Arabidopsis thaliana: one gene and its partner. The protein of the gene in region 1 interacts with the protein of each later gene in a pairwise test. Each region holds a gene or a part of one and is shown in the gene's direction. Other genes may lie near its edges.

Evidence for each region. The genes of interacting proteins can lie anywhere in the genome.
Region 2: the proteins of AT4G31100 (region 1) and CYCA3;3 interact in a protein complementation assay, tested with the Arabidopsis thaliana proteins (one large-scale study listed by BioGRID).

What each region holds. Positions count from the first base shown.
Region 1 is NC_003075.7:15,121,824-15,127,592, forward strand, and holds AT4G31100 (wall-associated kinase), read left to right. Parts: upstream 1-1,939; 5' UTR 1,940-2,038; coding exon 2,039-3,044; intron 3,045-3,161; coding exon 3,162-3,272; intron 3,273-3,359; coding exon 3,360-4,603; 3' UTR 4,604-5,061; downstream 5,062-5,769. Other genes in the region: AT4G31080 (integral membrane metal-binding family protein (DUF2296)), read left to right, coding at 1-85, 373-904, 996-1,249; AT4G31110 (Wall-associated kinase family protein), read left to right, coding at 5,434-5,769. UniProt on the Arabidopsis thaliana protein: Serine/threonine-protein kinase that may function as a signaling receptor of extracellular matrix component.
Region 2 is NC_003070.9:17,301,848-17,305,930, forward strand, and holds CYCA3;3 (Cyclin A3;3), read left to right. Parts: upstream 1-1,828; coding exon 1,829-2,032; intron 2,033-2,205; coding exon 2,206-2,438; intron 2,439-2,541; coding exon 2,542-2,694; intron 2,695-2,774; coding exon 2,775-2,958; intron 2,959-3,056; coding exon 3,057-3,191; intron 3,192-3,275; coding exon 3,276-3,350; downstream 3,351-4,083. Other genes in the region: CYCA3;2 (cyclin-dependent protein kinase 3;2), read left to right, coding at 1-81, 167-350, 449-583, 666-737.

The sequences.
Region 1 (5,769 bases):
GGAAAAGCTTCGAGCTGAAAGGTTGGCGAAAATCAATGAACTTAAAGAAAGGACCAATTATTATACCACACAACAACTTATTCAGGTGAGATTACTAGTCTTGAGAACACAGAGAATTTGTGGTAATTCCGTTTATGACAAGTACTGATTCTTCCAACGGTTATCATTTATAGTTACTGGATAGTGAGTGACTATGTTTTCGAAGATTGTTGTCCATATTTTGGGATAATAGCAATTATGAATAGAAAGTTGGAATCTTAGTCTGACATGGCAGTTGGAATTCATTGTATTTAATGCCAACAGAGACATGCATCTATGCCTGTATATAGCAATAGAAATACATAAAGTGGTTTTCTTAAGTATGTCTCGTAGGCGTGGCATAGCCATGCAACGAAAGAGAGATCAATGTTTGCCGACTTGAAGAGGTTAACTACTGCATGTAGAGCTGGTGCTAACAGAATTGTTTTGATGCAGAGATATGACCCGGACCCAGCTGCAAAGGCAGCTGCCGCAACTGTCCTGGCATCCAAATTGGGTGCCGATTCAGGCTTGAAAGTATATTTAGGAGATGAATCCCAACTCGATCCATCCTCGGGCAAGAGCAATGACATGGAGGTTAACCAATCACGTGGGTTGAGGAATCGAAGGCAACCAAATACAAGACCCCACGGTTCTGGGAGCACTTCAACACATCATTCTGATGATGAGTCTCACCATTCTGGAACAAGCGAGAGATTTCCAGGCACCACAGAGCAAAACCAGCAGATGTTGGTTGAGCATTACAGCCCTCAGGGATATGCTGCTCATGATGGCAGTTGGATCTCACGCATTGCGGCTCTACTTGTGGGCGAAGATCCCACACAATCATATGCGCTCATTTGTGGAAACTGTCGTATGCACAATGGTGAATGAATGTTTAAGCAAATCCTTTACCTGAATCTTTCAACTATATACTTATTTCTAACATAATTTTGCAATATGCTTTGTAAATGCAGGACTTGCTCGGAAAGAGGATTTTGCTTACATTACATACTATTGCCCTCACTGTAATGCTCTGAACAAACCGAAGCATTCAGAGGAGAATGTACTTCTTCCTGCTATTTCCGCTTCACCAATCACAGACTCTCTGCCACTGATTGAGACCAGCGAAGTGGTTAATAGCAGCAGCTCGAGTAGTGAACGTGGAAGTAGCCCCACTCCAGAAATAAAAGAGGAAGCTGCAATTACTGAGACCGGGACACCGAGCTGAGGAAGATCCAGTGAGCTAAGAAGAAGGCTTAGTCGTGTTGGTGCTACAGAGAAGAGATTTTGTGTGTGCATGTGTGTTTGTGGATGCGAGTACTCATTCAGGTAATCTTATGCTATGGATTGCTAATATATGAAGGTGCTTACAGTTTTGATTCTGGTTTGTTTCTATACAACAAGACAATAGGGTTTTGGTGGGTAAATATGCGATTCTACTGTCGTAAACGACGATTGTTATACGTTTTGGGGGTTTGAATTCTAATTATCTTTTACCATTACAGATTGTCTCTGTTTCTGTTAAATGTATTCACTCTTGGATGATGGATCATTCCCTTTTCGATTTTAGCACTACGAGCCTACACCTTTCTTATTAATCTTCTTCAATATTCAATTTATTGGATAGCGTTTTTTTATACCTAACTCTGCTTTTTCATTGTTTTTTTTTTTGTTGTATTTTACTAGTTCATGATATGAATATGACTTTTGCGATAGTAGATTTTTAAAATTATCTTTAGTAAATTAATTACCAAAATTGTTTGCAAAACACGTGATGATCTACACTTTAAAGACTTTGAAATATATTTTAAACTGGTAAAAAAGATGCTTTCCGCCATAAAGTTGATCTCATCAAGAAACACAAAGAGAGGTAGCAATTAAAATATTCAAAGATGAAGAGCATTATTAGCACGAGCAACTCTTTTCCTCTGTCTCCACTTACAAAGGAACAAAACTTGATCTGCTTTATAGTAAAGAACAAAACTCAGGAAGTTCAAATTTGCTTGGGCAGAGAACCATGAGCTACAAAAATACAAATAACTCTCACTTGATTCTCTTCAAGCTGTTACTTCTTCTGATCCTTTATTCTGCAGATCTCACAGCTTCAAGCTCATGTCGAAGTGAATGTGGAGGATGCAAATGTGGAGGAATTGCGATCCCATACCCTTTTGGAATCGGTAAGGGCTGCTATCTCGAGAAGTCATACGAAATCGAATGTCTTAATACTTCAGGAAAGCTTGTCCCCTTTCTTTCTGTAATTAGCAAAGAAGTTGTTAGTATCCATCTTCCTGGTAGGCAATCCTTTGGGTCAGTTCGTGTCAGAAGTCCGATAACATCCGCAGGATGTTCTAGTGATGGAAAAGACTCCGCACCAGTAATGAACTTGACGGATAGTCCTTTTTTCGTTAGTGACATAAACAACCTTGTGGGAGTTGGTTGCAGCAGCAAGGTGTCGTTGGAGCATATAAAGCAAAACATGGTGGGATGTGAGTTGAACTGCAGTACGACTAACGCGTCGGATAGCAACAGCATCCCTTTCTTCGACAAAACGGGGTGCTCTTTTTCTTATACTTTCGCCCAGGTTTGTACAGGAAACAAACCGGAAGATATGGGATGCGATGGTAGGGGATGTTGTCAAGCGAGTCTACCTAGAGAGCCTCAACAAGTTATTGGTATCAGAATAGAGAGCAATGATGGAAAGTCAACAACAAGTGGAGACTGTAGAGTCGCCTTCTTAACTGATGAATTCTTCAGTTTGTCGAAGCTGACCAAACCAGAACAGTTACATGCTAAGAGATATGCTACATTAAGTCTAGGATGGATAATGCAGACGAGGAATACTTCCTTCGTCAACTCCTTGGCCTGCAAAATCAGAAAAGACACGGACACTGCTTACTCTAATGACCAGAGTATAAAGTGTATATGCGACTACACCATGAGCATCATTTCTGATATTAGGTATGCCAATTGTGAATGCAACCTAGGTTACAAAGGTAACCCATATGATTCGGACGGATGTAGAGGTCAGTATTATGTTCTTTCCTTATGCCCTCCTCTTTTTTTGTGTGTGGAAGCAAGCATCCTTTCTAGAGAAGTTTCTTTCATCGTTTGACTATCGTATTTTCATCTTTCAATTATAGATATTGATGAATGTAAAGAGAATCCCAAATATTGTAAAGAAACAGACACTTGTGTGAATTTCGAGGGAGGCTATCGCTGTGTGGGCGATAAGACTAAAGCAATAATGATAGGTAGGTCACTGATTTTTGTTCCACAAATTTAGAGCTTTTAAAAAGCAAGTGATGATCAACCTATAATATTCTTGTGCGGTTTGGCAGGGGCGGGTACTGGTTTTGGGGTCTTAGTCCTAGTTGGTGGAGTATGGTGGTTGAGAAAGTTTCTAGTGAAGAGAAGGATGGCAAAGAGGAAGAAGAAGTTCTTCAAACGTAATGGAGGACTACTGTTGCAACAAGAATTGAATACAAGACAAGGCGTTGTCGAAAAAGCAAGAATCTTCACCTCGAAAGAGCTAGAGAAAGCCACTGAAAACTTCAGCGAAAACAGAGTTCTTGGACATGGTGGTCAAGGTACTGTGTACAAAGGTATGCTTGTAGATGGTAGAACCGTTGCAGTCAAGAAATCAAAAGTTATAGATGAAGACAAACTTCAAGAGTTCATCAATGAGGTCGTGATTCTCTCCCAGATAAACCATAGACATGTAGTCAAACTCTTGGGATGTTGTCTTGAGACAGAAGTTCCTATTCTGGTTTACGAGTTTATCATCAACGGAAACCTCTTTAAGCATATCCACGAAGAAGAAGCTGATGATTACACTATGATATGGGGAATGCGTCTACGCATTGCTGTGGATATTGCAGGAGCTCTTTCTTATCTTCATTCTGCTGCATCTTCTCCAATTTATCATAGAGACATCAAGTCAACAAATATATTACTAGACGAAAAGTACCGAGCCAAGGTGGCTGATTTTGGAACATCAAGGTCAGTAACCATAGATCAAACTCATTGGACAACGGTTATTTCAGGTACGGTTGGGTATGTGGATCCAGAGTATTACCGGTCCAGCCAATATACTGAAAAGAGTGATGTTTATAGCTTTGGAGTCATTCTAGCGGAACTTATCACTGGAGATAAGCCTGTCATAATGGTACAAAACACTCAAGAAATAATAGCCTTGGCAGAGCATTTCAGAGTTGCCATGAAAGAGAGAAGACTTTCTGACATCATGGATGCTAGAATAAGAGATGATAGCAAACCGGAACAAGTGATGGCAGTAGCAAATCTGGCAATGAAGTGTTTGAGTTCTAGAGGAAGGAATCGTCCGAATATGAGAGAAGTTTTTACAGAGTTGGAAAGGATTTGTACGTCTCCGGAAGATTCACAGGTGCAGAACCGGATTGACGAAGAAGAAGAAGAAGATGGAGTAGAAGAAGAAGAAGAAGTTGTGACAATAGTACACAGAGGAGATTCTTGGAGCATTGGTGTTACTGCTCCAGCCTCAAGTATTGTGGCTTCACCTCCATCTTCAGATGTTGAACCATTGAATCCTCTTCTCACATGGTGACACTCAATCAGATCTTAAAGTAATGATGATGAATGAATTTGATGTATCTCGTTAGAAATGTTTTCTGTAATAAATTTGAGTAGTTGTTAGTCTGTGTTTCCCGCTTAAGAACGTTTGTTGTGTGTTTATTATTCCTAACGTTCACCTTTGTGCCTCACCGATCACAGACTCTCTGCCATTGATTGAAACCAGCATAGTGGTTAATAGCAGCTGTCGAGTAGTGAACGTGGAAATAGCCCCACTCTAGAAATAAACAGAGGAAGCTGCGACTGCTGCGACCGGTACTCGTTCAGATAATCTGTTTTTGCTAACGTAGTCACTCTTGAATTTGGATCATTTTCGATTTTAATTCTAGGAGCCTAAAGTTTCCTCGTGTTTTTCTCGTGTTAGTTTATTTTATTCAGAAATGAATAAAGTTAGTTATGGACGGTGTTTTTATACCCAACTCTGCTTTTCAAGTTTTTATTTTTTATTTTTTTGTATTATACGATTTCATGATGATATGAATATGACTTTTGCAAGAAACTGCATTTTTGCCAGAGTAGTTTTTTTATCTTTCTTCTGTAATCAATTACCAACAATGTCTTTCCAAAAAGAATTGATGATCTCCACTTTACAGACTTTCAACAATATTTAAACCAGTAAAAGAGAAGCTTTCCGCCATATAATTGATCTGATCAAGAAACACAAAGAGAGGTATCAATAAAATATCCAAAGATGAAGACCATTAGCACAAGGAATCTTATCCTCTGTCTCCACTTACAAAGGCCATCTGCTTTATAGTTAATACAATTAACTCAGGAAGATCAACTTTGCTCTAGTAGAGAAACATGAGCAACGAAAGTACAAATTGCTCTTTCTTCTTGAATCTCTTCATGCTGTTACTTTTGCTGATTTTTTATTCTGCAGATGCTTGTCAAAGGGAATGTGGAGGAATCTCTATCCCATACCCTTTCGGAATCGGAAAAGATTGCTGTCTCGAGAAGTATTACGAAATCGAATGTCGTAACACAACTTCAAGAAAGCTTGTTCCTTTACTTTCTTTTATTAACAAAGAAGTTGTGAGTATCTCTCTTCCGAGTGCAGATAGTCATTTTGCTTATGAAGTATCTGATCAAGAACGTCATGAATCATTTGGCTTAGTTCGTGTCAAGTTCCCGATTACA
Region 2 (4,083 bases), on another chromosome or scaffold:
AGATGTTGTGAAGATGGAAGCTGATATACTTCTTGCTCTTCAGTTTGAGTTGGGAAGACCAACGATTAATACTTTTATGAGGTTAGATTTGTGTGTATTGGTGATGATTACTTATTGGTTTGTCTTAGTTTCATTGTTCTGATTTTGTGTGTTGGTGTTTGTGTAGACGGTTTACTAGAGTTGCACAAGACGATTTCAAAGTTCCACATTTGCAGCTAGAGCCTCTTTGTTGCTATTTGTCAGAATTGAGTATATTAGATTATAAGACTGTGAAGTTTGTGCCGTCTCTGTTGGCTGCTTCTGCTGTTTTTCTCGCTCGGTTCATCATCCGTCCGAAACAACATCCTTGGGTAAGCATATTTGTCTCAGTCTCTTTCAGGTTTTAGTCTGCTGTGGTCATTGTTTAGAATGAGACACTAATGATTTATGGTTGTGAATATGTAAACAGAACCAAATGTTAGAAGAGTACACAAAGTACAAAGCGGCTGATCTACAAGTGTGTGTTGGAATCATACATGACTTGTATTTGAGCAGAAGAGGAGGTGCTTTACAAGCTGTTAGAGAGAAATATAAGCACCATAAGGTACTTAAACATTACACATTGATAAAATCATTTGAATAAGCAGAGCTTTCTTGATACTTAATGTTGCTTCTTCTCGGTACAGTTCCAATGCGTTGCGACCATGCCTGTTTCACCAGAGCTGCCGGTTACCTTTTGGGAGGATGTTACCATTTGATCTGAGGTTATGCTATCTTAAGCAAATGTTACGGAGCTGGATTACCGAATCTTGTTTCAAATAGTATAATGGACACAGATCTTCAAGTGAAGCTAGAAGAGTAAGAAATATAGAAGTGAAGGCAGGAGCAAATAAGTCTGCGTTATGTGAAGATGTGTGATGTATTATTGAAATCTCTTCTTTTTTATTTACAAAATTTTAGTGTGAAATTCGGAATAATATAATTTTATACAATTATGCAATATGATATAAGTATTTATGTGACATGATCTTATTTTGTTTAAGCATTGAGCCTACTACTGTATGTTTATACTTAATGAAAATTCCTAGAGGGCTAAAACTCTAGAAGACATTGTTGTTAATTTAAAGAAACTAATGAAAATCTCAAGAAACAAAAGAAAAGAAAAGATTGTCTATGAGATTGATAATCAAGTTTACTAAAGAGAGATTAAACTTGAGAAACAAGAAACAAGGGAGCTTTAGCGATGACTTGAAAAGTTTCGGTGTGAAGATCCAAAGACAAAACCATGGTTTCAACTTTCACCCTCGTGTGAACCAGTGAAGTGAGCCATCAACATACACAGGATCTTGGGTGTGAGAAACCAGATAAGGGGATGCAGGACAACGTACCTCCAAGTGTTGGTTGCAAAATCAAAAACTTCACAAGTTGTAGCGTTCTCGTTTAGGCCTAACTCAGCGGAATAAGCAAATCAAATCGAAATTATAATTAGGGTTCTACTTTACAATTTTCTCCAAAGTAAAATTACAAGTTTTAGATTAAAAAAAGATAATTATATGTAATTACTTTTTGAGATTTTTAATCAAGTAAAAAAAGGTAATTTCTCTAAATTAACACGTTTTGGAACGATTTTTTTTTTAATTTCCTTTTTTTAATTACTTGGGATTTCGTGTTCAACAAGTTATTGTTTTGGGCTTTGGTTTAATTTTCCTTTTTTTTTTAGTCTGTCTCATCTCTCATCTGAATTCTGAAACCTGGTTGTTTTAGGATAGAGTCTTCTACTCTATATATAGGACTTAGTGTAAGATTTATTGTTGTTCTTTCGAAGATGTGTTCTTGTTTTTCGATAAATATGGTGTCTAAGAAAGATAAACAGATTCATTCCGACCATAACCCTCAAGATGCTTCCCCGGTAGAGTGGGCGGAAATTCGACATAAGCTACTTGCGTTTCAAGAGAACATTCAATCAGGCTCTGACATTGACGCTAGGTCTGATGATCCACAGATGTGTGGACTTTATGTCTCAGATATCTACGAGTATCTCCGTGAATTAGAGGTACGTAATAAGATCTCCTACTTGCTCTGTTTTTGGACTTAGAACATTGACAAGTTTCAATAGGTCAATTTAGTATACTTTATCTGAAGAGTTTCTATGATTGTTCTCTGTTTGGACTTAGAATTTGTGGATATGTTCTGAAGATTTGTGTTTTTGGTTTGGTGAATATTCAGGTGAAGCCAAAGCTAAGACCTTTACATGATTACATTGAAAAGATTCAAGAAGATATAACACCAAGCAAGAGAGGTGTTTTGGTAGATTGGTTAGTGGAAGTTGCTGAAGAGTTCGAACTCGTGTCTGAAACACTCTATCTCACTGTCTCTTACATTGATAGATTCTTGTCATTAAAGATGGTTAACGAGCACTGGCTTCAGCTTGTGGGAGTTTCTGCAATGTTTATCGCTTCGTAAGTGTTTTTGATCCTCTTGTATTACTCTCTTTGCTATTCATTGTCATGTTGAAACTTACATATGGAGTGGCTTCTCTTTTTTGGCATTTGATATAAATAGGAAGTATGAAGAGAAACGTCGCCCTAAAGTGGAGGATTTTTGTTACATTACGGCTAATACTTATACGAAACAAGATGTGTTGAAGATGGAAGAGGATATACTTCTCGCGCTTGAGTTTGAACTAGGAAGGCCTACGACAAATACTTTTCTAAGGTTAGAATTGTGATGAATAATACTGACTTTTGGTTGTATCTTATGGTTCTTTGTTCTCATCTTTTGTTGTGTTTGTGCAGACGGTTCATAAGGGTTGCACAAGAAGATTTCAAAGTGCCAAACTTGCAGCTAGAGCCTCTTTGTTGCTATCTGTCAGAACTAAGTATGTTAGATTATAGTTGTGTGAAGTTTGTTCCATCTTTGTTGGCTGCTTCTGCTGTCTTTCTCGCTCGATTCATCATCCTTCCTAACCAACATCCTTGGGTAAGAACTTTTGTCTCAATCTCTCTTTTTCAGGTTTATATGTTGAGTTAATCTTTTGAATGAGACACTAATAATCTATGGCTTGTAATGTAAAACAGAGTCAAATGTTGGAAGAATGCACAAAGTACAAAGCGGCTGATCTACAAGTGTGTGTGGAGATCATGCTTGACTTGTACCTGAGCAGAAGTGAAGGTGCTTCAAAAGCTGTTAGAGAGAAATACAAGCAACATAAGGTAATTGACATATTACAAATTATGAAATCATTTGATTTAATTAGTAGTATCATTTATACTTAAATGTTGCTTTTTATGGTACAGTTCCAATACGTTGCGGCAATTCCTGTCTACCAAGAGCTTCCGGTTACCTTTTGGGAGGATGTTGTTACCATTTGATCAGAACCAATCTTTCATTTCCCAATTGTTACTGAGCTCGATTACTAAGGGACACTGATCAACAGTTGAAGCTAGAGGAGTCATATGTTATATGTATCGAAGTGAAGCAGGAGCAAATAATTTGTGTTGTGAAGATGTATTGTGTTATTACTTGATTAACATTGTGGTGACAAATTAATGTGTTACTCTGGAAATTTATACGATTATGCAATATGATAAGAAGTATTTTATGTGACATGATTTTATTTGTTTAATCATTGAGCCTCCTATGACAAAATTTATAAGTTCCTAGAAGGCCAAAACTTTAGTAGTCAATAATTTACTTCAAATGGTATCGAAACCAGATGAATGGGAAGACATGACAAGATAAGCCTTTAGACTTGCTATGATCCTTGACAAAAACAAAACAAAACAGAAATTGTTCATTTAAGTCAATAAAAAGGCAATTTCTACAAGTGAACCCTTATTGGAAAGATTATTTGGTAGAATTGGTCTGGTCATTTCCAACATACGTTTATTAGATAATAACAGATAGGCGGATCATATAAGATAGAGTTGTCAAATCGGGGTGTCCATGTCCATTAGCCCAATCCAATAATGTCTATTTTGATATTGGACGAACATAGTCCGTATCCATTAACACCTTTGTCCAATCCAATAATGTCCATTTTAATATTCGATTTTTCCTCAAATCGATTTAACCTAACATTATAAGACTATTGGGCCGCCCATG